Linked DNA regions of Lytechinus pictus. Each later gene encodes a partner of the first gene's protein in a complex. Links are inferred from orthologs where the notes say so. Each region holds a gene or a part of one and is shown on either strand. Other genes may lie near its edges. The genes, in order: glutamyl-tRNA(Gln) amidotransferase subunit B, mitochondrial-like; glutamyl-tRNA(Gln) amidotransferase subunit C, mitochondrial-like.

Region 1 (15,881 bases):
ACGTAATAATACTGCGTACGTACGTAATAATTATCACGTACGTACGTATACTGCGTACGTACGTGATAATTTTTTTTTTTTTTGGATGTCAAAAATGTCCGGTTTGGGGCTTCGTACAATAGGTTACATTTATGGAAACTACGAATGTTAATGGAGGAATTAAAATCCCTCTCAAAATTTGTTAATGAAAATTAAAATAAAATATACATGTCATGTACATGTATCAAACAAAAAAATACACAAGAAATTAGAGTGCGTGTGACATAATCGGTTCTGTAATTTGCACATTGACCAAGATGAGCATATAATTGTTTTATAAAATTAGGCAAATTTCTCAATGTCAAAATAGTAATTTTTTGAATTTTGAATCAGTTTTTATGAAATTCTCTGCAATACTTTATTTTTCTTTAAATTCAAATTAATTTTTTGGTGGGGTGGACTTCTCCTTTACTCTTTGCTTGGAATAGGGAATGCACATTAATATTTATCCACGATCAAAATTGTCTAAACATATGCAAATCAGTAATTGGACACATGCTCACTTTCCTTTCATCCAGGCCACTCCCTCACATCCACCAGGTTTACAGTCTTATAGCAAAAATTATGAATTAATTATAATACCATCACACCATAGCTCCATGATCACACAACATTCATACAGTGCTTCACAACAAATATTTCACTTCTGTTCATATATGCAATAATTACTGTGGAAAACAAAAACAAGGCGTAACCACATTCAAATACCGTTTAAAACGACAAATATATTATACCTTTCGAAAAAAAAAATTGTGAACATACATGGCACTTAACCTTCAGCACATTAGATAACATATAACAGAGTTGCTTGAGAACAAAATATAATTATGGGGCATTGCAAGAAACTTATGTTCAATTGCAAATCAACTACATGTTTGTGTTTAATCAAAGGACTTACCCTTAATTTTGGAATGTGTGATTGAGTAGAAAGTTTCTTGCAATGCATTAAAAATTTTCTTTGGTTTTGAATTGTGAATTTTTATTTTTGTCAAGCTGTATTCCTGTCCAAGTCAGTATTCTTAGTCCTCCCCAAAACTGTGCTCTAATTTTTTTGTTTCCAATATCGATAAAGATCAATTTTCTGTTGTATCATTATCAGTCCAAAATTTGCAAACGAAAAAAGGGCTTTGTCCAAATCATGGTCTGACCATTATAGGACATGATGGAATCTCCCAGAATGAAGAAGCAAGCAGAGACCAGAGTCAGCAAGTATGCAGATCTGTGTGTAGAAGAGACAAAAAAGAGAGAAATAGTCTAAATTATTCAAAGTATGAATTATGTTACATGTAAGTCAATTAAGAGACTAACTAAGTACTGTCTGTGACAGCCACAATTTTTTTATTTGAACAAAATGGTTTATAAATACTACTGAGTACGGTAGTACCAGACTTTTTACTTTGACTTTAAACTGTTTATAGTCTCTAGAGTAGACTGTCTGAGCTAATCATCATTTAATTCTTAACCGCAGCCTGGGGCAAAAATCATCATGGGGCTCAACTTCGACTAGGAAAAAGGTTAACAATTTTCAACATAAATCAAGAAATATCTCAATCTATAAAAACTTGATGGAATTCGGAAACCTGATAATCATTTGAATAAAACTTTAGAAGGGATCTACTTATCAAGCTTCGTTTATATTATTATTAAGTCTTAATTAAAAAAAAAAAACAAGTCCACCGTCCACAGTCACAAATATAATGCGAGCCATCTGCCATCATTACAGAAGTTTCAACGTATGGGACCAAAGGCGAAATTCTACCAACCCGCGACGAACGTAATTTTGGCATTATTTCGCGCCATCGTGGAGTGAACGAGAAGGTTACTTCCGGGTAAAACGTAAATTTCTTGATTTTTAGGGTATCATTTTCTCTAAAATAAAAATATAAGGTGAGTTTGCGTCAAGTTGGTTCTGACATATTTTGAAAAGTGACTTTTCTTCTTTCTAAAAAATCCCGATTCAAACAATTTGGTTATGTAGCAAAGTCAGGAACCAAAAGTGAAATTCCGACTACAAAATCGCAGTTAAAATATTACTAAGATAAGCATCAATTAAAGAGGTAAAAATGGTAGGTTGAAAATGTCGAAATATGGAAAATTATATACCAAAATGTAGATGAAGGTCTTGAGAATAACTTACCACAATTCGTTTCGACGTAAACTGAAGTTAGCGACCAGTGCAGAGCTATAACTTCAGCCCCTCCAATTCAGTGGGAAAATCAAGCCAAATTGATCGCACGTTTTCCTTCGGAGACCGCTAGAGGGCCGCTGAATAAATCTCCGTGAATATGCTCATTATCGCGCGAGCTGCGGTCTGACTGTCTAATCACTCATTCATCAATCCATCCACCCATCCATCCACCCATCCATCCATTCATTCATCTTTTGATTGATTGATTGATTGGCTATTTGATTGGTTTACTGAGTGAATGATTCATTGATTAGTGGTTGATTGATTCATTGATCGATTGTGATTGATTATTTGATTCATTCATTCATTCATCAATCCATCCATCACCCGTCCACCCACCCACCAACCCATCCATCCATCCATTCATTAAGTTATTTTGACATTTTTGTGCTCAAGATCCTCTGACCCTTATTCTGAACTTCGAAGTCATGGTTTAACTATGGATAGCCAATTGTGAGACAAGGATCTGTTTGTCAGCACATTTGGTGCTCAATTCATTTTGAAGTATTTTATAGTAATTTCTTATATAATTTCCTTCATCATTATTAATGAAAGAACATGGTAACAAGAAATTTGTTGGCTTCCTATAATTTTGCCACAACTTCGAAGTCATGGTTTAACTATGGATAGCCAATTGTGAGACAAGGATCCGTTTGTCAGCACATTTGGTGCTCAATTCATTTTGAAGTATTTTATAGTAATTTCTTATATAATTTCCTTCATCATTATTAATGAAAGAACATGGTAACAAGAAATTTGTTGGCTTCCTATAATTTTGCCACAGAATTTTTTTTTTAACAACAAGTGCACACCTACTTAGCAAGAATGTGTGTAGCATTTTTCATTTATTTGAATGCGGGATAAAAACATTGTAGATCAATTGCCTTGTTTATGGGCGTAAGTGTTGCGGCCGAGGATAGAACCCTGGACTTTCTATGTGCAGTCAGGCGCCTTTGACCACTCGGCCACGGCACCTCCATTTTGCCACAGAATTAGACCATGACCTCAGACTAAGTTAAATGGGGATTTCAGAATATTGTCCTTTGGGTTTACATTTCATCCCAACATAAACATTCAGTCAGCATGGGTCCCATTTCATAAAACCTGTCATTAACACATTCAAATTTCTACAGCCAAATTTACTATCAGCCAATCACTTTTACCTATGAGGAGTTTTTGTATACAAAAATAACCCTAAAAGCATTGCTATTCAGTTCTTCTTAATTTCCTTCATAATTCTTGAATAGCGCCTTGAGCACTCTACAGAGTGGATTCGGCGCTATAAAAGTCCAATATATTATTATCATTGTTGTCACTGGCATACAATTGATAGTAACCAAAGTTCAAACACAGGAGCCAATCCTGGGGCATAGATCCACCTCTGAATCTTAATCCATTTGGGGAGGGTTTGTGATAAGGAGGGGGAGGGGGTTTGGGATTGCTGGTGAGAAATATTGTAATATGTTATTGTCTTAAAAATTAAAAAAAAATGTATATATTTTTGTTATGACAGGCGGAGGTGATACTGCGACGTGTGCAGCAAAGTATAACACTGAGCATCTCGTCAGCCATGTCAGTACTGGAGGCGGGGCTAGTCTAGAGCTCTTGGAAGGTATGTTGTATAGAAAGATATAGACTCAGGGGGGGGGGGGGTGGAAGCAAGTGAGATGCACCCCACCTATATCATGAAAATCACCCTTTGCCATCTGCTCCCTCTCTATCTTTACATATGCCAGAGGCATGAAATTCAAGTTTGTCTTTGAGAATTCATCTCGCTTTATTGTTTAAGTATTCTGTGCTCTGTTATTTACCAATTTGTAAGAATTTTCTTCATTCTTTTGCTTCATATCCCATACAGGCAAGAACCTACCAGGTATTGCTGCATTGTCCGACGTCTGACTACCTCCATCACCCTTTCCTACCAGTGCACTTTGACCCGATGCCATAGATCCTTATTGGTGGCAGCGGTGGGATTCATATCAAATATATTAGCTGGCCGATGCAATGCCAGGCAAGGTTGTATTTTGTGGCAGCCCTCAACGTTATCCTTTCCTCTTCCTGAAGTGTTTGTAATTGATACCTCTTCTATTAAACGCATTAATGTCCGGTCCGGTGTTTCATGAAATTACGAGCGACTTTATGCATTACATGTTTTGTTGACAATCATAGTTTGTATTCCACCAAAAGAAATATTCGGCAGAGCTGGGGACTACTGATAGTGACTGATTAAGTCTTTGTATCTGTCCGTGTCTGATGATTGCTTCAATAACTTAATGTGCACGCATGCAACCCAGAAGGTTTTCTGTGAAGTGATTAGCTAGTGTTTGAGTGTTGTCCTACACTTTGAAAAACTGTCAGTCAAACCAAATTCTTTGGTCAGTTAGATATTGCATTCTATTTATCCTTTCTTTCTAAAATAAAGTTAAATGGTAAAATTGTAGTATTTGTGAAAGGAAGGGGTTATAAAATGTAGGATTTCACAAATTTTAAATATATTGAGTGTAATGTCACCAGTATTTCAGATACTGCATTATGAACTACAAAGATTTTATTTTTTACAGCTTGTAATATAATTACATGGTTGAAAGTGATTGCAAAGCAGTCATACTTTGCTTATAGCACCTAAAAGCAATATGACAGATTCATCTTGATAATGTGATATATATTTTCGTGCAAAATTATTTTTACTTTTAATAATTCTCAAATTCTGTGTCATATGCTCAAAAAGATAAGGCTTGTCAGGGTATATTTCTAACAAGATTGTTAAACGAAATTGTTAATATATCGAAAATCAGTTTCTCCAAGCTAAAGTTTGATGGGCAAGCCTTCTAGATTGGAAGAAGTTGAAATATTATATGTTCTTCCTGAACTGATTAAATCATACTTTATCTTTGTTTTGTTAGTCATGCCATTGTTTTTTGAGGTGGTTAATACTTAGTATGCCATCAGTAAATACATACAATTATGTTAGCAAAGGATGTTTTATTATTATACAAGAAAATTTATTTTAGTGTCAGTTTTATGCATCAAGGATGTGTGATTTCATTGTTTGTGCAAAGCACAAATGTCACCATAATCAAGCCACCACAACATCATTTTGTAAAACTGCCTAAGTTCTTGGTTATCTTGGGAATTTGTTTAGTGGGATTATATTTGGTAATGTGCAGGTAGGCTGTGGAGATTTTCATAATGTTTAGTATATAAATGAATGTGAATCCTACAGAGCTGGGGCCCGTTTCATATAACTGGTTATAATACCAAATTTTTCAATAACAGTTTAAAGCAAATTAAATCATTCGATTTGATTGGCTGATTGTAAACTTGATATAGAAAATGTGCATTTGTTATTTTAACCACTCTTTATGAAACCAGACCCAGAAATGAGACTATGATGTGGTGTAGATGAGATATATCATAATAAATGTGAAATTATATAAAAATAATGTTTTTATTGATTTCTTCTCTGATAGCATTTCCCTTTAAAGAAGTTAGTAGTATTGTGAGTGATTTATTTAACTCTCCAACAGAAAAAAGAAAAGAAAATGAAATCTCATTGATAGAGAAGACCTACATTTGACATGTGAAATTTTTGGAAATTCCATAAAGTGTGTACATAATTATGATCCCTTATATGTGGGAACTTCCTGAAACAATTTGCCTCAGTTTTTCAGTGAATATATAATAATACCAACATGCTTATATAGCGCATATCACTGCCAAATGCGTCCTTATTAAATACTAAATTGGATATTAAATATGAAAAGTTGGGTGACGCAACATTTGCTTCTGCGACAATTGTTCTTTATTTTCATTTCGTCTAAGACGTAGTTTTGGGGTTAGGGTTGCAATAGGGTTTTATGTTAGGTTTAAGGTAGGGTATAGTGTTAAATCCAGGGTTGAAGTTAGTCATTTGATTAGTGTGTTGCATTTATAGAGCAAATGTCACTGTAACAAATGTCGTGGAACCAAAAGTTGTAATGCTTTCAAATAAATAAATACATGTAATAATAAATGATATAGGATTTATATAGCACATATAACCACCTTAAGTGCTCAAGGCGCTCCCATATTAACCTGGCTTAGCTAGTCTACCAATTCTGGTGCTCACAGCTTTTTGAGGAATTACCATCTGCCGGTACCCATTTGCGTTCCTCACCTGAGTTGAGTGCAGCACAATGTGGGTAAGTCATCATGGTTTCAGAAATTCATGAAGTCAAAGTTAAAATGCAGAAGAACTGTGTGTGTGGGGGCCGGGGGGGGGGGGGGTGGGGATTGGCAATACCAACATTTTGATCCTTTCATGGAATTTCCCTTCTGATAATATATCTGGCCTGCCAACTACTTTTTTTCCTGGAGTTACCCCACTTTTGAGATTTGTTATCAACCAGCAAAAGAGGAGCACTCCGTTTTTCATTTATTTAAGATAAAAAAAAAAATTGGCCCGTGTACATGTATTTGTGTGGCGGGGTATGGGTGTGAGAGTAATATAGTTTTTCAAAACGTGTAATTTCTCAATATTTAAATATAAGAATGCTAAACATGTCTTGATTAAAAAAAAAAGTGAGGGAGACACACCTGACATCGAGCAGAAAAATCTGCGCCGTGCGATTATACCTTTTTTTTTCATTTTCAAATGTTGGCAGGCCTGATAAATGGGGTTTTTCATAAAACTAGCTGTTTGTAAGTAACTAATGACACATGACTGGCAACGCATCAGGTCTTGTTTCATAAACACTTGTTACAATAACAAACGCACAACTCCCACATCAAATTTATCATCAGATTGAAGGATTTCAGTAGCTTTATTTAACCGTAATTGCAAATTTGTTACAAGTTATGAACTGGGCTCTTCATCCTGCACTAAAACTGAGAGATCCCAATTTACATGTTTTTTTAACGTAATGGGTATGAACTCCCTGTTGCCCTTAGATTATTGACAAATTTTGAAATATGCATTCAGATGCTGGTTGACAAGAGTTTTTGTCTAACGTTACAATAATCAGATTTCAACTTTTAGCTAACGGCCGGCCGGGGGCTGACGGAAATCTTGAGAATTTGATGTGGCACTTAAGAACCTGTTCTTAGTCATAAGCAAAGTCATGTATAACTAACAACCCTTAGTAATAGTCCGAATTGCTACACCCGCTTTTCTTTTCTATTTTTAAAGATAATACAAATTTTCATCATAAAATAAGTAAAATATTTTTTTTAACCAAATAGAATTACAAAATTAAATGCTCAATTCTCTTACTTTTCATCAGTTGGCTTCTGTGTTATCTTTATTTTGATAGTTTCGCTCTTTTTTTTTTGGGGGGGGGAGGGGATAAATAAAAAAAAAGCACAATGCTAAATACTTTAAAAAAGGGGGAATCTTTAATTGCTAAAAAGTAAACGCATAAATTATATTTGGGAACATTCTTCCCGTGCATTCCTCATGCGTGCGCGTACAAGCGCAAGAGGGCGCTCTGCACATTCGATGTTTTTAAAGATGGCAGCTTGCATGAGCACATCGTGGAGGTTTTCTGCCTTCCAAAAACCGGTTGTGATTTCCTTGAGAAGATCTTATAGTGGTTGGAGAGCAATAAAACGAAGAAATTATTCTGTAACTTCTGATTGGTTAGTATTAATCATTGTGAAGTCGTCTGACTTTGCGTGGAATTGCACCGAGACAATCTCGGCTCGGCCGGGTCGCGGCGCTGCAGTGCACGGCCGGCAAAATGAACACAACCGCGGGACGAACGAGGCCGGAGCTGTCGGCGTCGCTAACTCAAGAGCGCCGCTGCCGAATGAAGGCGGCGTGGGCGTGGCCTAAAGTAAAGGCTAAACCTAACCCAGGGGCAGGGAGCGCGGGCCGGCGCCCAGGAGCTCACCGACCGTGTATTTACCCATACTCACGGGACAAGTGCACCCATGGGTTCATATCGTCTCGCGTGCGAAAGAATATCAGTCATATTCACACGACACATCCAAAATATACTGGGCTTTTGCCCACATAAAATATCACGCATAATCTGGTAGGCCTATTACAAATACAAATGGTATTTCACATTCTGCTATGAGTATGAGTATGACACTTACCAAATCATTTAGATCCTTCCGTGACTTCTCCTTGAAGTTTCTTTTAAAAAATATGTAGGCCCTATATTTTCTTGATCTTTAGTGAAGATTTCACGGAGATAAAAATTGGTTGGCGTGGATATCAATTTTCTCCTAAAGAGGGCGCGCGATTTATATTAATATTCATATCAAAGACATGACAAGGGAAAGACTAGGCACCTACACTATTTTACACGCAAATCCACGCAAGGTATTACGCGAAGTCCGTGAAGTGTCCAATCTTTTCATTGTATAGACTTTGGTATACCGTATTATTGACGTTCGTTAAAGCTTGTTCAATTGTTGTACTGCTGGTTTCGTTCCAGGCATGTGTATTTTTCTCAATTTTATTTTATTAGTCATCGTTTTAAATTAATTGCAAAAAAGTGTTATCATCGCCAATAGTAATCTTGAATTATATTTTTGAACTGTATTTCATTTATTGGTGCCCATAATTAGTAAATTAATCATAAGAATTGCGCATTCAAAGAATTTAGACAGTTATACTTATAAAATTACAGAGGAGCTGAATCAAGGTTGTGAAATTTATTAGCGCCACCAACGGGCTTCCTTGTATTTCCGTAGAAGAGACAAACGAAGTCACTTGCTAGGCCGAGGTAAGCGAAATTTGCTCTTTTTATTATAATGAAATTATTTCAAAATCATATGTATAATTTGTTTATGTATTGCTACTTACCGGAAAGAGCCCCGGTGCTTAGCGAGAAGGAGTTTCGGCAGATATTACTTCAGCAATGAAGCGATGTTTGCCGACTACTTCGAAATCCAGGGTCAAACACGGTCCCTTGTACGAGGTTAGTACATATACTAACCTCGTATTAGTGTGAGTGGGACAAGGGTAGATTATGGTCAAAATATCTAGCAAGATAAATTGTGAAAACAGAAATTATGCACTTACCACGATTATATGGATGAAGGTCTATCGAGTGGTAGAATCCTGACATCGAGGCACAGACTGGAACCTCAAAAACAAAAAGTTCTCTCCTACCCCAGTCTCGATCGGCCATTTTTGTTATGAATCATAACAAAATGGCCGATCGAGACTGGGGTAGAAGGAGAGAACTTTTCGGTTTTTTGAGGTTCCAGTCTGTGCCTGGATGTCAGGATTCTACCACTCGATAGACCTTCATCCATATAATCGTGGTAAGTGCATAATTTCTGTTTTCACAATTTATCTTGCTACATGTAGATATTTTGACCATAATCTACCCTTGTCCTGTGAGTATTGGTAAATACACGGTGAGCTCCTGGGCGCCGGCCCGCTTCGCGGGCCGGCGCTCCCTGGGTTAGGCTAAACCCTGACATTTGTTAACAATGATTAACGTTAGTCAGGTCCTAATAAGCATGGCGTTTGGAAATTAAAATTCATTTGCGCTAATAGCCTTCAGCAGTTCAGGCTACAGACTGCAGTTGCACTGGCCGATTGCGAGTCTTACTTAGTAGGGTGTCTGGAGAATTTTTTTTTTTTTTCTTATTTCAAGAAAATATCAAATTTTCTTTGTGAATTTGAAGAATAATGACCTTCACGGCTTCAAACTGACAGAAATTGAACATTTTTTTTTTAATCCAATAATTGGCTGCAAAAAAGAATGAAGTTAGGTCAATTTTCAGCATTTCTCTGCCATAGACTGTGTAGTTAAGAAATGGACACACACAAATCCAAATTTTTAGCTTCCGAGAGCTGTTATAAATTTATTATTAATGCCAAAAACTTGTCCATGAAGAGTCAAATATGATTTTTCATGCGCTTTCTGATGGTATGATTTTTATAAAGACTTGGAAACCAGATCACAATGAAAAATTGCGACAAAGTGAAAAAAATTGTGCATAACAGAAATGTCATTTTCCCATAGAAAACGCATGGGGAAATGGCAATCTCAACACACACACAAATAAGGGTTTGCAATTTATCTCTAAATCCTTATTTCATATAATCCTATAAACTTGTCCTTAATGTCAAAAGAAGCCCCTGAATTTTCTCTTTCCATACATGCCAAACAAGTTAATCAATTCAGATCACATTTTTCTAGCAGCCTGAATTTCCCGAAAAAATGTGCCATATTTTTCCTAAAATCAGCCTGTTTTATGCTGACACTTTTCAGTGTGGCTTCAGACACCCTACTCTTAGGCCCGACTTAGGCGTTAGGACTTAGGGTCTTACTAGTAAGACTCTTAGCGCAAATTTCCCCACTGGTTAATATTACTTAGAACGATAATAATGATCGAGCTAGGACTAGGAGCCGAAATCCAGCCGTTCCCGATATTTGGAAAAGCGGTTGGGAATATTGTTTATTGACCTTGAAATGTGACTGAGAGACTTGCCATGATCAGATGACATTTGCGAACAATTTCTTGTGGGGAAATTTGCTCAAAGTCGGCCCGTACGAAACTGCATCTACGCCAAATTTCAAAGATGCCTGGTACTTGTTTGCATCCACTCAAGGTTTCATTATCATCCTGCCTGTGGGGAATCTACAGGTAGGACTGGTATGCCAATGGCAATGCTGTACGCAGCACACAATTTAAAAAATCATTAAAATATCACTTTTGTGACCAAAAATACTAATTTCCATAGTCCATACAGTTGCAATTTATTTTTCATTAGTAACTTTTTTCACCAGAGCGCTTGAAAACTTGAATTTTGGGCATATTTTCGTGTACGCCCTCTATATGGCAAGACAATTCTCATTTTTCAATCTCTATTTTTAATTAAGAAAAAATAATTTATAGAATCGAATTTACTTTAGAGCCAAGTTATATGATGAATAGCTGTAATGGAAACTGACAGTGCCAAAAATCAAGCATTTGTCCCAAAGAAAGAGAGAAAATAAGCCAAACATTGCCAACCTTATTTCACCACACAGGGAGTAGTAATAGAGAACAGGGTTATATCATAGAATGAGTGGTTTGCATCAAGCACACGTCGCCAAAATGACAAATGAAACTGCACTGTTCAGTGTTAAACTTAAGCTAGGAATGCGGACTCGGGGGGGGGGGGGGGACCATTTCTTCTCATTTTCCTCATCGGCCTCTTCCTTCTCATTTTTCCTTCTCCATGTCCTTTTCCTCTTGCTTTTCCTCTTGCTTTTCCTCTTTCTTCCCTTTCCTTCTCCCCTGTCTCCTCATTGTCCTCGGCCTCAGTCTCTTCCTTCTCATTTTTCCTCCTCCCTCTTTCTACTCTTCCTCCCTCTCTTCCTCTTTCCCCTCTTCCTCTTTGTTGTCTTCTCCTCAGTAGTAATATTTTTAAAGAATTTTCATGTTTTTGATAATTTTATTTCTATAGTTCATTTGAAGGATGGTCCAGCATGGTTGGCCTTGAGATTCATGCCCAGATACTCTCCAATACCAAACTATTTTCTGCTTCTAAGGCCCAATTCATGGCACCACCAAACTCGCTAGTCTCTTTTTTTGATGCCTCTCTGCCAGGTACTCTTCCGGTTAGTATAGTTGGGAGGCTTATTTACTAGCAATTGGTCTATTATTTGTCGGGTAGTATTAACTAACACTCCGGGGGGGGGGGGGGGGGGGGGGGCCACTTCCATTGACGAGTGGATACCATGCGCGACCATGGGGTCTTGAAAAGCACCCTAAACACGTATTTTCCATGTTCTGAAAATGCACCCCTTGACAAGTATTGGCTTGTGAAACCCCATCCCTTAACAAGTATTGGAAACAAAACTTTACTATTGGCAAGTATTTCCTGAATTGAACCCCTAAACAAGTACAGCGATATTTCAATTATGTCGCGGACGTCAGTCGTCGGTTTCACCTTTACCTACATCATTGGGTTTAGTACAGCCCCCACGTAGTGTTGACTCTTGGGGCAAAGAGTACATCCTTTATAAAACATATTAGTCTTAATTTTTCATACCCTCGCAAATTTTGCCCTAAACACGAAGCTTTCCCAGCGAAAATAGATACCCTTTTTTCATTATTTTAGTATTTTTGACACCCTTATGTTACGTACGTAACGTGCCCTATCTTGAAAAAGACATCATTTTTGTCTCACCTGCATAGCAGAGTGAGACTATAGGCGCCGCTTTTCCGACGGCGGCGACGGCGGCGTCAACACCAAATCTTAACCTGAGGTTAAGTTTTTGAAATGACAGCATAACTTAGAAAGTATATGGACCTAGTTCATGAAACTTGGCCATAAGGTTAATCAAGTATTACTGAACATCCTGCCTGAGTTTCATGTCACATGACCAAGGTCAAAGGTCATTTAGGGTCAATGAACTTAGACCATGTTGGGGGAATCAACATCAAAATCTTAACCTAAGGTTAAGTTTTTGAAATGTCATCATAACTTAGAAAATATATGGACCTAGTTCATGAAACTTATACATAAGGTTAATCAAGTATCACTGAACATCCTGCATGAGTTTCACGTCACATGACCAAGGTCAAAGGTCATTTATGGTCAATGAACTTTGGCCGAATTGGGGGTATCTGTTGAATTACCATCATAACTTTGAAAGTTTATGGATCTGATTCATGAAACTTACACATAATAGTAATCAAGTATTACTGAACATCCTGTGCAAGTTTCAGGTCACATGATCAAGGTCAAAGGTCATTTAGGGTCAATGAACTTTGGCCAAATTGGGGTATTTGTTGAATTACAGCCATAAATTTGAAAGTGTGTTGGTCTAGTTCATAAAACTTGGACATAATAGTAATCAAGTATCACTGAACATCCTGTGCGAGTTTCAGGTCACATGATCAAGGTCAAAGGTCATGTAAGGTCAAAGAACTTTGGCCACGTTGGGGGTATTTGTTGAATTGCCATCATATCTCTATAAGTGTATTGGTCTAGTTCATAAAACTTGGACATAATAGTAATCAAGTATCACTGAACATCCTGTGCGAGTTTCAGGTCACATGATCAAGGTCAAAGGTCATGTAAGGTCAAAGAACTTTGGCCACGTTGGGGGTATTTGTTGAATTGCCATCATATCTCTATAAGTGTATTGGTCTAGTTCATAAAACGTGGAAATAAGAGTAACCAAGTATCACTGAACATCTTGTGCGAGTTATAGTAGTTTTCAAAATCAGCACTGCTGCTATATTGAATCGCGTGATGCAGGTGAGACGGCCAGAGGCATTCCACTTGTTACATGTTTTTTTTGGTCGCGCATGGTATCCACTTGACAATGTAAGTGCCCCCCCCCCCCCCCGGGCTAACACTACATCAGCTACACCCATTGGCCCTAATTCACAAAGGTAATTTTGAAAACCATAGGTTTGAACCCATAGTTTATGCAGATTTCCTGTATGAAATATGCTTCAGTTATATTTTAAAAAATGTACAATACTGATGCGCGTGTTAGTCACAGTGCTCCAAATGGACACCAGTTGCCATGGTTGAGCATGCTATTTTAATTCATGAGTCCACTCTTCAAAACAGTGGACTCGTGAATAAAAGCGTGTTAACCATGGCAACAGGCGTACATTTGGCGCACTGTGACAAAAGCGTGCATCAGCATTGGTCGTTGTTTATTATATGTGGTAAATGGGTGTCATTTATACAGGAAATTTGTATAAACCTTTTAAAACCACCTTTGTGAATTCGGGCAATGTGGTCTCTACTACCCGACTAGTCTATTCTCCAGGAATAACAACAAATCAAAATAAAGATAATGGAAGGATCAAACTTTCATTCTCTTTTGATATATTCAGTTGCCATTCATTCTTTCCACTCTGAAGTCCTTTCATTCTCTTAAGTAATCTTCATTCCTTTTCTATTAAGTAATGATTTCCCAAGAAAGCTGGCTGTATGTTTATTAATCAGGACAACTTTCTTATATTTTTCTATCAGTTGTTACATTTTTACCTCTCTCCCTTGGAAATTTCAACCTTGAATATTTTTTGTTATAGAAACATACATGTGTAAGATGGTTATTTTGTCATTTTCTTATCTTGTTTATTTTCTTTAACTTGTGTTTTCTCCAGCTGTTTTACATATCTGTTCAGTCTAGACTTGAGTTCATTTGCATTTCTTTTCAGCACTGCCCTTGCAGTCTGAGCTGAGGTTTTTTGAGTTTAATGATATTCAGTTATCATTCATTCATTTTACTCTGAATACCTTTCCTCTTTTCCTCCTTTGTCATCTTCATTCCTTCTCTATTCAGGTGTTTCATTCTTTCCATCCTCACCTCTCTCCTTAGTTTCTATTTCCATTATTACATAATCACCCAGACATTTTTATTATTTTCACCTCCTTATTCCTCATTGGTTTACCTTATGAATTGGGTTCTTACATATAGTTGGATCCTTCCATTCTCTTTAGTTTGATTGGGTGATATTCCTGATTTAAATATATATGTAAATTGTTCAGTGGCCATGAGTTGAGCTGGGGCAAAGTATTCCAGCAATTAAATTAGTGCACAACCAGACTTCTTCGGCTTCAGTTAACTTTATTTGCATCTCCTATAGTTTCACTTCTTTTTCCCCTTTTATAATGTTGACATCCTTACACATATATGTGATCATGATTTACCATGTTGGATCGCTGTCATTGCAGGTCTTGAATAGACGATGTGTGGAAGCGGGTGTGCTGACAGCACTAGCCCTCTCTTGCTCTCTCAACATGCGTTCAGTCTTTGATCGTAAACACTACTTCTACGCTGATTTACCGGTAAATCCCATCAGACTGTACTTTTTTTCAATTAGTTATAGTAGCATAATTAAGAAATCACAGTTTAATTAATGTATTTTTATATTTTTTAAATATCAGTCAATTTGATTGTAGCAGTTGATTATTTTTTCTTAATGTGTGTCTTTGTTATCCAATCCTAAAAAAAATTGGACAAATCCAATTCCTTGGCTCCATATTTTATTGCATCCCTTCCCATACTCTCCCCATCCTCTTCTCCCTCCCCACCTTCCTTTTCATTTCCTCTTTTATTACTTTTTTCTCTTTTCCTCCCCACTTACTTTCCCTTTTCCTCCTTTTTCCTCTTTCCTCTCTCTTCCGTTTGCTCCATATTTCACTTTTCTTGCTCCTATCATTCCTCAAGTGCTCTTCTCATTTTTTCCCATTCCCTCCCCCTCCCTTTCTTACTCTTCTTCTCCCATTCGATCTCCAATTACTTTCCCCTCCCTCTTCCCCACCCACCCCATTTCCTCCCTTTCTCTCTCTCTCCCATTCCCATTTTCCCCCTTCACCCCCCCCCCTTCATTCCGGTCTCCCTCCCCCTTGTCCTGTCTTCACCCCCTCACTTCTCTTCTTCCTCTCCCTTGCACCTTCCCACCCCTTCCGTCCTCCCCTCCCTCTCCAACCCTTGCATCGTCAACCTTCCCCTGTTTGCATAATTTCTCATGAATATTTCATGGAACCCCCCCAACATCCTGCAGGCAGGTTACCAGATAACCCAGCAGAGACTTCCCCTAGCAGTCGATGGGCGTGTGGAGTTCACCCTCTTTGACGAGAGACGGAAAAACCCGCCATCTCATCGGTCGGTCCGCATCAAACAGATCCAGTTGGAACAAGACAGTGGAAAGAGTTTGCATGATGAGGATAATGCAGAGACGTTAGTGG
Region 2 (15,115 bases), on another chromosome or scaffold:
ACTATTTACCTGAAGCTGTGTTAAGTTGAATTCTTTCCAATATTGAAACATCGACGCGACATCTTTCGCGGCCATGTTGATCGATCTCGGACAAAGAAACGAACTCTCGCCGTTTTAATACACAGTTCAATATGCGGGGAAGTCTGGCGATATATGCACGAAAGCTTGACGGGCTCACGAAGAAGCCATACCTAGCAAGATACCATACCACGTACACACACTTTCCCAAAACACGAGAGGTGTGGCGAATACCATGGACACGTCCACTTGTACCGACGGGGGAGCAATATTTTTTAAGCGTGATAATTGATACACTGTCTGAGACCACGACGATTTATATTTTTTATATATATATTTTCAGGCTTTATAAAAAGCAATACCATGAATTATTAAAAGAAATCAAATTCATTAAAATCGTATTTTGATCAAGTATACTGTTGGTACCTTACGGACATCCCTATAAAAATAAATTCGTCTGACAAAAATGTTATTATCGAGTCGTGTCATCAATCAACACAACGTGTTTCTGTCATTGTCAAAAAATGGTATTGTGAAATTCTTGGCTAAGTGTATGATGTCATCCTTTCGGTAATCCGTTATTCCAATACATTCGATAACTCGATTGATCCCTTTTTCTTTGGGTTTCTGATATTTGCTTTTACTTTACTTTATTTTGATTTATTTAGCTTAAAAGTATAGTTGGGAAAGACCTGAATGGATTTTAGCTTTATATTTGTTTACAAACAAGAATTTAGTTCCTGTATTGACGTAATGACTAAAAAAAATGAGGGGGCCGGACATACGGAGTCGGAGTACAGGGGAGTACAGGTCAACATTTTTAAAAATATTCTAGCGGGGTGAAGTTAGTGAGCAAGTAAAATTGACCTTAATTTCTATTTTTAAAAATCGTACTTTGAGAAAGGTTCTGGAGCCGTGTCATAAAGCTGTTCTTAAGTTAAAGGGATGGTCCGGGCTGAAAATAGTTATATCTTAATACATATAGAGTAGAATTTACTGAGCAAAATGCCGAAAATTTCATCAAAATCGGATAACAAATAATAAAGTTATTGAAGTTTAAAATTGAGCAATATTTTGTGAAAACAGTCGTCATGAATATTCATTAGGTGGGCTGATGATGTCACATCTCCACTTTCCGTTTTCTTATATTATTACATAAAATCATAATTTTTTCAATATTTCATACTTGTGTGAATAATATGTCTCTCTTAAAATGAAATAAGTTGCAGCAATAAATATCTAATGCACTAAATCAGTTGTCAATCCAATTTTTCTAGTTCTTGGAGGAAAAAATTGAATAAATTAACCTAATTTCATATAATATAATACAAAAGAACAAGAGGGGATGTGACATCCTCAGCCCACCTAATGAATATTCATAACGACTGTTTTCACAAAATATTGCTAAACTTCAAAATTCAATAACTTTGTTATCTGTTATCCGATTTTCATGAAATTTTCGGCATTTTGCTCAGTGAATTCTATTCTATTTATTAAGCTGTAAATACTTTCAGCCCGGACCATCCCTTTAAGAGCGACTTTGAGAACGACTGGTGAACCCTTCTTAAACGTGCTAAACAATCGCCAATTCAATACCATTTACCACAAGAAAGGATCACCAGTCGTTCTAAAAGTCGCTCATACGAACAGCTTTATGAAACACCCACCAGATATAGTGTTCAGGAAATGTCAAATTCTTATAATTTTATTTCTTATTATTCTCCATATTTTTTTCTAGTCGTGAAAATCTCGCGGGGTCCATATGCCCCCAAGCCCCCCCCCCCCCAATCTGTACGCCAGTTGGGTCAACAGCAGTGGCGGACCAAGGGCCGGGGGGCATTTCCGGTCCGTGCCCCCCCCCCCCCCTTGAGAGTCATAGTCAATTTTTTCTAATGTAAATATGTCGTTCATACCTTTTTTTTGTCGGACAAAAATGTTGATGAAACTCGGTCCCCAGGAGTGCGTTTAATATCAGTAAAACTTGACCAAAGAAAGTCATCACTCACAAATTAAGGGCGTTAGTCTCCAGGAATAATGACAAGCCGAATAAGAACTGTTGGACAGATGCCTGTCGGAAAAATGAGAAAATTTTGGGTCACCCACCGATGTTCCATCATAAGGCCTATAGTTCTTGCTCTGCATGTCTTTGATTTCCCCACTAACTTTGTCGGTAAATGTCAAATTGAACATTTATCGTTAAATTGTCGTTGTTATTTTTATTCAAAGGTTAGGAGCTCTCTGTATCACCTAGATCGAATGGATCGAATGTCCTGGTTCATGATCGATTTAAAGGGGAATCCAACCCAAATAAAAACTTGTTTTCAGGGGAAAAATAAAAATCAGACAAGTTGATAGGTGAACGTTTGAACAATATCGGCCAAACAATAACAAAGTTATGAATTTTTTAAAGTTGTACAATTTGGTAATCACTACAGCCATGTCCACATAATTATGTGATGGCATAGTGATGTAAGGCAAGGACTACTCTTCCATGTACTCCAATACATAAAATGGTTAAAGTGTCATTTTTTCAAAAGTTTTACTTTAAATTATATTTTTCTTTCATGAGGACATATAACAATATGCTACCTGTGTTATATTTTGATTACTGCCCCAGGGGAATGGGTACTAAGATGAAAACCACAAATCCCTGATAATAAAGTACATGGCCTATGGGAAAGTTGTCCTTGCCCCTTGTCATAATTTAGGGTCCTACTTACTCAGTTGCCAATTTGAAATCTACATAGTCTTAGGGATATTAATTTTAAAGCAGCCATAACTTTTTTCTTGCTTGTCCAATTTCTTTCAAACTTTCACCATTTTTTTAAATTTATTTTTCTCCTTTTGACACAACATTTTATGACCAAGGCTGGATTCCCCTTTAATTTATCGCCAACAAATTTCAGTTCTCGCTTCGCGGCGGTGTACGCATGAAGTAAGTGAGAACCATCATCTTCTGCACATGTTTCTCCATGGATAATTATGTTGAACAGTGCTTAAGAGATTTCCTTTCCGGTCAGGTTATATAAATTTCCGCTCGCGCTTCGCGCTCGAATATATTTAGATACACAGCTATTCCTCAATTTCTCACGCTTCGCCCTTACATTATAAAAGCACATCGGCCTTCCGTTTCATTAATACAAAAAGTTCATAATTAGAATGTTTTGGGATTTTTGTTTGTTTGATTTTGCTATGTCACTATTCGAAATAATAGCTTGCATGCGCTCTAATTGCAATCGCAATGATTATTTTATTGGTTTATTTATATTATTGTTAATTCTTTGTTCTACAAATTGTTATATGTAGGCCTATTCTTTGTGTTGTATCTTCATTTGTCAAATAATAATAATGATGATAATGTGATACAGATCTTGTTCTTTATTTTAAAAAATGAAAAAAAAAGTGCTTGTAACGTTCAGTTGTCAAGCCGGGTGTCAAAATTTTCAGCTCGTGCTATACACGCTCGCGTTGTGAAATATGAATCCCCTTTATGAGTCACTGCATGCAAACATTTCTTTTTAGGTCCCTTTTCAGGTCAGAATATAGAAAACAAATAGCTCGCGCTTCGCACTTGCATTAATATTGTTTGATTAAACAAATATACTGTCCATAATGGCAAAAAGAGTTCGGCTTCCATGTCGTATAGAATAATAATAATAATAAAACTCTCATTGTCTTTATGTACACCCTTATCATTTAATGATTACATTGCTTTGAATATCCTGTTTAAGGTCTTAATATGAAGAAAAAATTAGCTAAAAATTGCATATAACTGTTTGGTAACAAAATAAGCGAACTTTTTTTTATACATATTTGAAGAGATCACATGTAAAAGGGTTAGGTCCATTTTTCATCAAATTTGATTTTTATGTCTTAATGTAAAGATTTTTAGTAGCTCTATAAGATGATACCGAAGAAAAGTTGAAATTCCTATTAAAAAGTGAACTAAAATGGCAAAGAAAAATCACTTTTTTTTTTCAAAGGGGTTAGGTCCATTTCAGTTTAGTTGCAAAAGGGGTTATAGGTCCACACAGATTTTTTTTTGGAAAAGAATATCATAAAAAATATAAAGACAGGTAGATTTCTCTTATACCCAATTTTATGTTCTCATGGTAGGGCATCATGAAAATTCAGTTTCGCATAAGAATATGGCAATATGGGAGAATTAAAAAAATGATTTTCTTGGAGTGGACCTAACCCCTTTTGCAATTAAACTCTTCTGAAGAACTCATTTGTCAAAAGGGGTTAGGTCCATTTTTCATAAATATTATTGTTTTCTGTCTCTAAACCTCTAAATTTTCAGTCACTCTGATGATACCAAAGACAATTTGAAATTCAAATGAAAACGTGAATGAAAGTGGCAAAGAAAAATATTTGTTTTTAATCAAAAGAGATTGGATTAATTTCAGTTTACTTGCAAAAGGGGTTAGGTCCACAATCCTCCATGGATAATTATGTTGAACAGTGCTTAAGAGATTTCCTTTCCGGTCAGGTTATATAAATTTCCGCTCGCGCTTCGCGCTCGAATATATTTAGATACACAGCTATTCCTCAATTTCTCACGCTTCGCCCTTACATTATAAAAGCACATCGGCCTTTCGTTTCATTAATACAAAAAGTTCATAATTAGAATGTTTTGGGATTTTTGTTTGTTTGATTTTGCTATGTCACTATTCGAAATAATAGCTTGCATGCGCTCTAATTGCAATCGCAATGATTATTTTATTGGTTTATTTATATTATTGTTAATTCTTTGTTCTACAAATTGTTATATGTAGGCCTATTCTTTGTGTTGTATCTTCATTTGTCAAATAATAATAATGATGATAATGTGATACAGATCTTGTTCTTTATTTTAAAAAATGAAAAAAAAAAGTGCTTGTAACGTTCAGTTGTCAAGCCGGGTGTCAAAATTTTCAGCTCGTGCTATACACGCTCGCGTTGTGAAATATGAATCCCCTTTATGAGTCACTGCATGCAAACATTTCTTTTTAGGTCCCTTTTCAGGTCAGAATATAGAAAACAAATAGCTCGCGCTTCGCACTTGCATTAATATTGTTTGATTAAACAAATATACTGTCCATAATGGCAAAAAGAGTTCGGCTTCCATGTCGTATAGAATAATAATAATAATAAAACTCTCATTGTCTTTATGTACACCCTTATCATTTAATGATTACATTGCTTTGAATATCCTGTTTAAGGTCTTAATATGAAGAAAAAATTAGCTAAAAATTGCATATAACTGTTTGGTAACAAAATAAGCGAACTTTTTTTTATACATATTTGAAGAGATCACATGTAAAAGGGTTAGGTCCATTTTTCATCAAATTTGATTTTTGTGTCTTAATGTAAAGATTTTTAGTAGCTCTATAAGATGATACCGAAGAAAAGTTGAAATTCCTATTAAAAAGTGAACTAAAATGGCAAAGAAAAATCACTTTTTTTTTTCAAAGGGGTTAGGTCCATTTCAGTTTAGTTGCAAAAGGGGTTATAGGTCCACACAGATTTTTTTTGGAAAAGAATATCATAAAAAATATAAAGACAGGTAGATTTCTCTTATACCCAATTTTATGTTCTCATGGTAGGGCATCATGAAAATTCAGTTTCGCATAAGAATATGGCAATATGGGAGAATTAAAAAAATGATTTTCTTGGAGTGGACCTAACCCCTTTTGCAATTAAACTCTTCTGAAGAACTCATTTGTCAAAAGGGGTTAGGTCCATTTTTCATAAATATTATTGTTTTCTGTCTCTAAACCTCTAAATTTTCAGTCACTCTGATGATACCAAAGACAATTTGAAATTCAAATGAAAACGTGAATGAAAGTGGCAAAGAAAAATATTTGTTTTTAATCAAAAGAGATTGGATTAATTTCAGTTTACTTGCAAAAGGGGTTAGGTCCACAATGATGATTTTTTTTTTAATATATAGAAAAAAATTGAAGACAGGTAGATTTCTTTTATTCCCATTTTATGTTCACATGATAGAGTAGTACATCATGACAATTTAGTTTCTCATAAGAATATTGCAATAAGTGAGAATAAAAAACATGTTTTTTCTCGGAATGGTCCAATGTGGACCTAACCCTTTTTGCAACTAAACTCTTCATTTACGTTTTTATTAAGCGAAACTTTAAAATGACATAACATTCTTATTTCACATCTGATTTTGATGATATTGTCAGCGTTATACTTGCAATTATTTTATATATTGATTCAAATCAACAATTAGGGTACCTATAGCATTTTCTGATGTTATTACATTAAATCGTAATAAATTCATATTTTCATACGCGTGTGTATAAAGTCTGCCTTGGTAAAAATAAAAGGTACAGCAATGATTTTCTTACATATAAACTTAGTTGTCAGTCCAGTTTTTGTTTTCATGCTTTGAGGAAAAAAAATGAATAAATATAATTTCATATAATAAAATGTAAAGGAATATGAATAAATTATGACATTAACCTGCTCATTGCATATTCATGAGGACATTCGTAAAACTTCTTCATCGAAATAATAGGCTTACAAAATGCTGACATAACCTTGTTATTCCTCGTCCAATTTTCAGTGTTTTGTTTGTCTGTTTTCTTAATCTGTTCAAATCATTTATCAGCCTACATGGAGTACCCATTTAATGGATCCCTTTTCAGGTCAGTATATAAATAACACTTCCATCTCGCGCTCGCATTTATAAATGTTTAGTCATGCACATGCAGTTACAAAAAGTGCATAGACTGTCCAGTTTTCAGGTTGGAAAGTAAACATTTTCGGATGGCGCTGACATCAATCGTTCAGTTGCATGTATATACCCATCCTGTTCATGGTTACAAAAAACTGCTTAGAACTTAAGTTTTAAGGTCGAAATATCAAACATTTTTAGCTCGCGCTTCGCACTCGCATTTTTGATCAGCGGTGGATTATTCACGAGTCATTGCAAACAATCCTTAACAAGCCCTTTTGTAGGACAGTACATTAAAAATGTTCAACTCGCGCTTCGCGCTCCCATTAATCGTTTAATTGATATATGCATATTGTTCATGATTACAAGAAAAGAAGAAAGCTAAGAGGCTCAAAACTTCAGTCTTTATTTATCACTACCCCCTTATTTCGATATACCCAAACTACAATGCGGGGCAGATGAATCCCGAGATGAATACAGCAATAAGACTCTCAATATTCATTTATATGTCCTCCAAGACCGAATCCGATTCATCCTAGTTATAGACATGTAACAACACCCCTCATAAAACAACAAATATAAGCGGCAGATGGAGGAAAATGTGGATGAAAATATTTTTTTTACCCCTTCCCTCATTGGCGAAAGCTGGATCCGCCTCTGGGCTGGAGGCTGATTGACTTTGCAAATTTCATACACAATGCCAGTTCCCTGTGCTGTTTTTATTCATTTTATAACAAATATTCATTCATTTATTTCTGTTTGTTAGAGAATTTATTTCCGTAATCTATTCATTCATTTCCTTACGGCACCCGGGATAATGGGGATAAGGCCTATATGAATTTTATTTATTGCAAAAAGAAAGAGCTCTCTCTGTCCCGTTCGTGTCGGCGGCCCCGTTCAGAAAAGTTGTTTAGCGCCATCTCAGCCGATAAATAAATAATTTGGGGAACTACCACCAAGACTATTACCGTACATTTCGGAAAAGAACTGCTGCTTGAACAAAAAAGTGAAAAATGTCAGTGATTCACATCATATCCAGATTTGTAAGGTCACATTCTGTGCCAGTAGCAAGAAGATTTTTCTGCAACAAGTATACCACCTCTAATTCAAAGGTAAGTTAACTAGTCAGGCCTAGCTCAGGCACATCAAACGCAGCCTGCAGCTGGCGCTGAACTGATTTAGCAGTCACCGCGCCGCTATCCTGCAAGCCACTCTACGCCCGCCCGGCCCGATGGCAAGCGAGCGCCGGCCGCTGTTATTCATAGTTTTGTTGTAGTCATGCAGCGCGCGGCCTCCTGTGGCTGTGGTGTTTGGGAAACATGTTATTGTCGACTCACTCATCAGTTGACATGTGATCATGAGTCAGAGTTTCCACCTTGAAGGAAATTTCCCGAATTCTGGATCATTTCAGGTAATTTTGGGGAAATAAAAAATTTCAGGAAATTCAGCTAGGGAAATCAGAAAATTAAATACAACTTACAAGTAAAGTTACTTTATTAGTTACAATTACAGAATCGTTTGCCCCATATGTAGCTCAAAATTTTCTGCTCACGCTTGCTCGTGTTTCATTAGTTTGTTCCTATTTCAAAAAAGTGTGTGAACAAAAATAGGTTAAACCAATTTTAAGCTCGCTGTATTGTCAAATTTTTGTTAATAAATATCGAACTTGAAAATTCCAGGAAATTTATTTTGGATCTGTGCTGTGGAAATACTGTCATGAGTTATTGATCAACTTGGTCATGAGAAATTAATGGTGCTAGTCATGCTAGTGCAGTTGTGGCTTGTGCGCCTGTACCTCAAGTGATGTTTGTGTAGGCTCCACTTCACTACCGCTACACTACGCTACTCCTACTCCTACCTGAATATCAAGGTGCAAAGCTCACTCTGATACTCCGAGTGACAAAGGTGTTACTTTATGGGGGAAAAATATAAAACTCATGCAACACGATGACCTTACAATTCATTTGTAACAACTCTTACAATTCGCAAAGTTTCACTTCTTTTCCACACTTCTAAGTTTTATCAGTCTCAAAATTGGTGATTTAGAGTCAGTATCGGTTTCCTCACATATATTAATTCACTGCCGATTCCAAAACATCGCAAACGCAGATTGCGCATGCGCGGAAATCGCAACTTAATTCATTAATATGAATATATGATAGGACAAAAGATCGGGATCATTTTGCATTTGCATCAGATCTCGATCTTTTGTCCTACTGAAGGTTTCAAGGTTATTGGAAGATGGCACGTCATTAAAAAATAGATGGTGAACTGGGGGAATTGAGGTCACTGAATCTGTTTTTAGCACCTTCAATCTAGTCTGCTGGGCAAACCCTTCACTCGAGTTAAGGGTCTGAATGTGCAGCCTACTCATGCCTTGTGTGCTGAAGGGTATTGGAACAGCAAGTTTTGTATGTGCTAGTCTTTGCGTGGAGGCACACTTATTGATCAAAGTTCCAATCAGGGTCTGTGCCTGCAGACTACCTTCAATCTCTGTAATAGCTAACTATGTCCTGCAGCATGTGCAGGGGGAGTGAAAAAAAATTGTCCTCAATAACGAATACACTCTCAATTTATCAAGAATGATTTGTCTCAGTTTGTGAGGGTGTCCACGTTTTCTTGGACAATCAACACTTTTTGGCTTTACTAGTACTGAAGAGGCAAAGTCAGTGGAAAGTTTTAGAAATAGGCTTGATAAATTTTGGTGGAATGAGAGATTAAAATAGGCCTACCACTAATTCCAAATGCACATCAAGTTTAAATTGAACCATAGAACAGGAGAGTAGCAATCAACCATGACGTTAAGACCGGATATCTACAGGAGAAATCCTATTCATCCGCATCCTGATGATGTGATGAAGCTTTCAGGCTAGTCTACATCTTGCTTCATTATTTTCAAAACTTCCGGTTATTCATAAACAGGTATTTTGATGAAAAATGTTGAATTAATGGATTTAATGGTAAAAATCAAGAATTAAATTTTGGGTATCTGCCTGTACAGAGTGAAAGAATGAGATTAATTGATGGAGGAGGTGTAGAGAAGCTTCACTATACCTCCATAGATTTATTTTTACAAGCCAGCACATTCAATCACCACAATAACATACAAACAAATACATTGTAGGCAGTGTCACTCACCACAGGAAAAAAACAATTTCAACTATAAAATCCCATCTGAAAAGCCAAATTTTGCCACAAAAAATATGGAATCTGCACCATATTTTCAAAGCATGTGGCAGGTTTCTTTCAGTTTGAAAGGGTCTCTGAATATAATGCAGGCTCACGGTGCAGCTCAATGCAGCGACTCTTTTAAAGGTGTGTATCAATCAGATAGTATATGATTATTCAGGGGCCACGGAAGCGGGGGGGGGGGGCTGGGGGGGCTTCAGCCCCCCCACTTTTTTCCCAAACAATGTACAAAAACGTAAAAATGACCATACGATTGTGATTTTTTGCATGGTCAGCCCCCCCACTTTTGGCTCAGCCCCCCCACTTTGAAAACCGTTCCGCGGCCCCTGTTATTTACATCCAACTTCCAAGTTCCAACTTACAGATGTATCTTTACTCGATATGAAGGTCTCACTTATCACTCCCTGAATACTTTTCCAATCCAAAAAAAAACAGAAAAAAGAGCAGCCAGTCTGTCCAATGCAAAAGGTAGATTGAAAATTGAGATTGAGATTATTGATGTTTTTGAGAAAGCACACATGACATACAATGCTTTTCGTTGAAGATGTGATAGATGAATCACAGCTTTTTTTTGTGCTTATGTTTGAGATATATGAAGGCTTTTAAATATTTTTTCTCACTAATCGTCTCCATGCCAGCTAAATACACCAATTTGTTGAGTGACATCATCATGTTGAGTCAATGCAGTAATAGCAGTATCATCATTAAAATGCATTCGCTGATGTTAGAAACGTGTTAATTCCCTCTAGTTTATTTTTACTTTTTCCATAGATTCCTGAGAAACCCCAATGGAGAGATACAAAACAGAAAAAGAAGGTAATAATGTTTTCAGAATGTTTGTGAAGAACAGTCACTAACCATGTCAGTGTGTATTAAAAAAAGTTATTATTTTGAAATAGTTGTGATAATTATAATTAAAAATATTAAGAAATATATTTAATGTCAATAGATGCTGTATTATCTCCTTCTTCATTTCCCAACTCAAAGTAAAGATTTTGATAATTCTTAATTAACAGTGACAAAACTTAAAATCTTGCTATGATACCTGAAAATAGCTCAGATATATGAGCTGTAATAATCTGAAAATTGTTAACTATTTTAATCTATGGAAATTGTGTGTAATTTATGAAAAATCTGAGCCATTATATGAAAATGATATCACCCTCTGTTAATTTGCAGTTCTTATTTTTGTCGGTGTTAGGGTTTCTGAGTAACCATAATGTCATGATATTGATTTTGATTATATGCTCACCCTTGTGTTTTTAATTCACCACTCACAAGAGCATTTAGTTGTAATAGATATCGCAAAATCGCAAAGAGTGTTTCATTATCAATTGTTTCTTATCTCCCTGTAGGTTAAGGTGGATCCTCAGACCATTGAAAACCTAGAGAGGTTAGCGCTTGTCAATTTTAACAGTTCAGCTGGTGTTGAGAGACTGGAGCATGCCATCACCCTTGCAGAGCAACTTGATGATGTTGATACCAGTGGAATACAACCGATGGCATCGGTCCTTGAAGATACGTGAGTATAGTGTAGCACAGCAAAACATGCCATTATAAAGATAAATCTTGATTTATAATAGGTTGTTTAATTGATGTAGCCTTATGTGACTTTTCCTCTTGTTACTATATGTTCCTTTTTTTCTGGATTGATATACCCATGTATATTACTAATCAAGTAATATACTTTACTGTTCATTTCCAGATAGGTTTTAAGATGTATTAACCTGACAATGTTGCATAATTTCTGTAAAAGTTGTTAGAGACAGTAGCATGGATAAATGGTCATTGCACTGCATCTGTGTTTGATGGCCATTGATATTTCAGCTTGAATATGTAAACAAGTACTACAAGAATACTCAGTAGCCTGGAGCAACCACAGCCCCTATGCAAGAGTGGGGCAGTGGCCATATATGTACAGATGATCAGGTATAAAAGACTGCAGCCAAAGAATATAGATAGACTATTAAAAATAGAATACAGATATTAAGTACGCTCTGTTATTGTGGTACATTTAACATATACAATATGCAGTTCCCCAGACTCTGCCCAATAGACCATAGCTGCCAAGGCCCCAAATTTACACCTTGTAGTCAGTTGCTTAGACCTCAATTTCAAGTTTTTGACAGGCACCCTTGTCAAAATATAATTTGAGTGCCTGTTTTGCAAGAAAGTTATATTAAAGAGCCAACTCCAACTCAGTTCAATTTATTATTAGACATTCTTTCATCTTGTGTTATTGTTTTCATAGAGAGTTATACTTGAGAGATGACACAGTAACTGAAGGCTACTGCACAGAGGAGATTCTCATGAATGCTGCCAAGACATGTGAAGGATACTTTGTTGCTCCTCCTGGTAGGTTAATTTTTCATCTCACTTTATTTTGAGTGGTAGGTTTGGGATCGATTGTTATCCCTTTGGAAATTGAGATATCAGATTGAGCTAAACCTATTTGTGACAAAGTGACCTCACAAAAAAATATTTGGCCCTGACTTTTATGCAGAGGCCTAAAATTGAATACAGAATGCATCGGAAAACAAAGAAACTCTACATGAACTCATCACTTCTTCATTGCGTCTTTTTCATTCATTCCATCTTACAGAAATTATCTGAAAGAAAGTTTAATTAAAGATCTGTAAATTAGCTCTTTTAGGGGAAATGTCAAATATCAAAATCACTGTATTTCCATGAAAAATATCAAAACTGTTCTTCATTAATTCCTATTTTTTGGATTACATAAATTCTGAATTAGACGTGCAGTAATGAAAACAAAGTGTTGTTGCCATTTCTAAGATAGCTGTTAAATAAGAAGGCTTAAAAAGGTTTCAACATAAACAGACACAAAGTGACAAGGACAGTGTTGCAGAGGGTCACTGAAATGGGTAGTAATGATGTTGAACATTGTTAACTGGACATTTTCTCATTTTAAACTCACAAATACAATTATTTTTCTACCTTTTATGAGTTGGGATGGGGAGTCCTGAAGTAATTTTCCCCATCTTTCTTGAAAGCAACTCTCTACTCTTGCATGATCACTCTTTATGTTCTTAGGAAACATCCCTCTGTCTTCTCAAGTTACCCAACAAGTTTTAGATGGAATCAGAAAGGATGAAGACAGATGACAGGAATCAAGATGGTTTGATAAAATTGAACATTTTTAAGTAAATCAGAGAACCACCATGATCTCTTAGTGTAAAGGAGCAAGCTGATAATAGAGACTTTTATGTTTTCTAGAGCAATATTTATATCATAGGGCTTGTAATATAAATGATGATCAATTCTAGAATGATAAATAACTCTGAGTATATGACAAAACTTTGACAGAAATTTACAATCAGTTGTAAAATCAATGGTATCTGTGTATGTAACATGCCCTTAATATAATCCCACCGCTGTCACCTTAACCCTCAAAAGCCCAGGGGGGCGGATTCTGCCCCCCTCTACATTTTTCATGATAAATCCACCACGCGAAATTTTTCAACTGCACCGCTCGCTGACCTTTTACTTTCAAATCTCGCACAACTCTTGAGACCAAATTTGCGATGCCCGGGTATGCGATTACGAAATAACGCAACATTATGTAAGTGCATGTCAGACCCAAAACTGCTCAAAAGCGTGAATTCATGTACAAATCCAATGCAAATTGTGTATTTAGCCAAAATTCATAAATGTATCATTATTTCTACTTTTACTGATTACACTTAATTAATTTTGTCTTGTTCATGATCAGAATTAAGTCTACAACAATTTCCATTATAAAAAACAATGAAAAACAGAAAGTCGATAAACAAAGAAATACATAGGAAATAAAAAAAAAACCAATACCAAATTTTGATCGGGATCCTACAAAGAGTTTATGAATAAAAAAATTGCAGTTTTGGGGCCATATGATAGTTGATTAGAGCAAATGTTTTACTTCATGAATAAATTAGCATAATTAATTCATGAAATGAAAAATCTTTTTTTTTATTATTAACCATACAGCCTTGTATATTTTACTGCACACTACCACTGTGCAAATTTTCGTGGCGCTTGTGCGATCGAAATGCCGAGATCTCAGAGGGGGGGAGGGGTGGAATCCGCCCCCCCCCCTCGGCTGTGATAGGGGTCCAAATAACCTGGCTCTTTTAAGAACAAGCAGGGTGTAATGGTTTTATCTTTATAAGTACCCTTATTTAAATTATTGTTTAACAAGGAGAAATCAAGACAATAGGACTCCAAAACCCTGCACTTTGTGAGTAAACCTTGAAAGGAATTATTCATGATACAGTAAAAATAATGCACAATTTGCAATTGAAATTGATGCGCAAATAGCATTGCACAGCGCGATGCTTAAATACGCTTACCTACTATGTAATTGGGTGATTTGACCTAAAATATTTTTGAAATCATCAAGAGCCTACAAACAAAATGCATGTAAAGTACAGTTGATACCAACTACTGAAAGATGGTTACTGGTTTATTTGTTTTTCATTTGTGTACAAGTGGCATTTGATATTCATTTATTGAGTGAGAGCCTAGATATATCAATATAATAATATTAATGTAACTAGATGTAAGTATAAATTTCATTAATATAATAATTATTATTACTATTAATATTATTGATTCAAAATGCAAGATCAGATTAGTAAATGCCCAAAACTCTTAAGTCTAGACAGACAACTTTTCTGGTTTTATGTGTGATAAAGGCAATTTCAATACAAGATTTTGCATTTCCAACACAGATAATCAAGAAATGAAAATAAATGTAACTAAATATTTTGAAATAAGAACTTGTGTCATTTCTACTCTTACGACTACCCATATCATACACTAAATTTTAATATAAATCATTACAAAAGAAACTTAACCTGCATATGATGAAGAAGAACATGTATCTAACTCCAAGTTGAATAATAAGTGAACGCTAATTGTTAAAACTGCAAACAGTACAGGGGGCATTTCATAAAACCGTTCACAAATGTGACAAGCTGTGAAAATCTGATGATTTTTTTGTTAAAACATAATGGAAGTGCACTTCCTATAACCCTAATAAAACTTTGAAACTTATCTCATTAGATGCCTGTTAATGAGAATGTTATTGGACAAAGATCTGGGGCCCGTTTCATAAAGGACTTGCAACTGCTGTAACTTTGCCATTATGGCAACTACCATGGTAACAGGGCTCATCAGCCAATCAAAATCAAGATTTCCATGGTAGTTGCCATAATGGCAAAGTTACAA

What was found.
Region 2: glutamyl-tRNA(Gln) amidotransferase subunit B, mitochondrial-like (region 1) and glutamyl-tRNA(Gln) amidotransferase subunit C, mitochondrial-like share a complex: the UniProt entries of both Drosophila melanogaster proteins name them as parts of the heterotrimeric GatCAB amidotransferase (AdT) complex. The link is inferred for Lytechinus pictus from reciprocal best matches to the Drosophila melanogaster genes GatB and GatC.

What each region holds. Positions count from the first base shown.
Region 1 is NC_087249.1:39,941,383-39,957,263, reverse strand, and holds the start of glutamyl-tRNA(Gln) amidotransferase subunit B, mitochondrial-like, read left to right. Parts: upstream 1-7,688; 5' UTR 7,689-7,703; coding exon 7,704-7,843; intron 7,844-8,844; exon of another isoform or gene 8,845-8,940; intron 8,941-11,624; coding exon 11,625-11,778; intron 11,779-14,864; coding exon 14,865-14,978; intron 14,979-15,697; coding exon 15,698-15,881. UniProt on the Drosophila melanogaster protein: Allows the formation of correctly charged Gln-tRNA(Gln) through the transamidation of misacylated Glu-tRNA(Gln) in the mitochondria. The reaction takes place in the presence of glutamine and ATP through an activated gamma-phospho-Glu-tRNA(Gln).
Region 2 is NC_087246.1:15,550,173-15,565,287, reverse strand, and holds glutamyl-tRNA(Gln) amidotransferase subunit C, mitochondrial-like, read left to right. Parts: upstream 1-7,623; 5' UTR 7,624-7,713; coding exon 7,714-7,812; intron 7,813-7,957; exon of another isoform or gene 7,958-8,057; coding exon of another isoform or gene 8,058-8,111; intron 8,112-10,660; coding exon 10,661-10,705; intron 10,706-11,244; coding exon 11,245-11,411; intron 11,412-12,140; coding exon 12,141-12,244; intron 12,245-12,940; coding exon 12,941-13,011; 3' UTR 13,012-14,658; downstream 14,659-15,115. UniProt on the Drosophila melanogaster protein: Allows the formation of correctly charged Gln-tRNA(Gln) through the transamidation of misacylated Glu-tRNA(Gln) in the mitochondria. The reaction takes place in the presence of glutamine and ATP through an activated gamma-phospho-Glu-tRNA(Gln).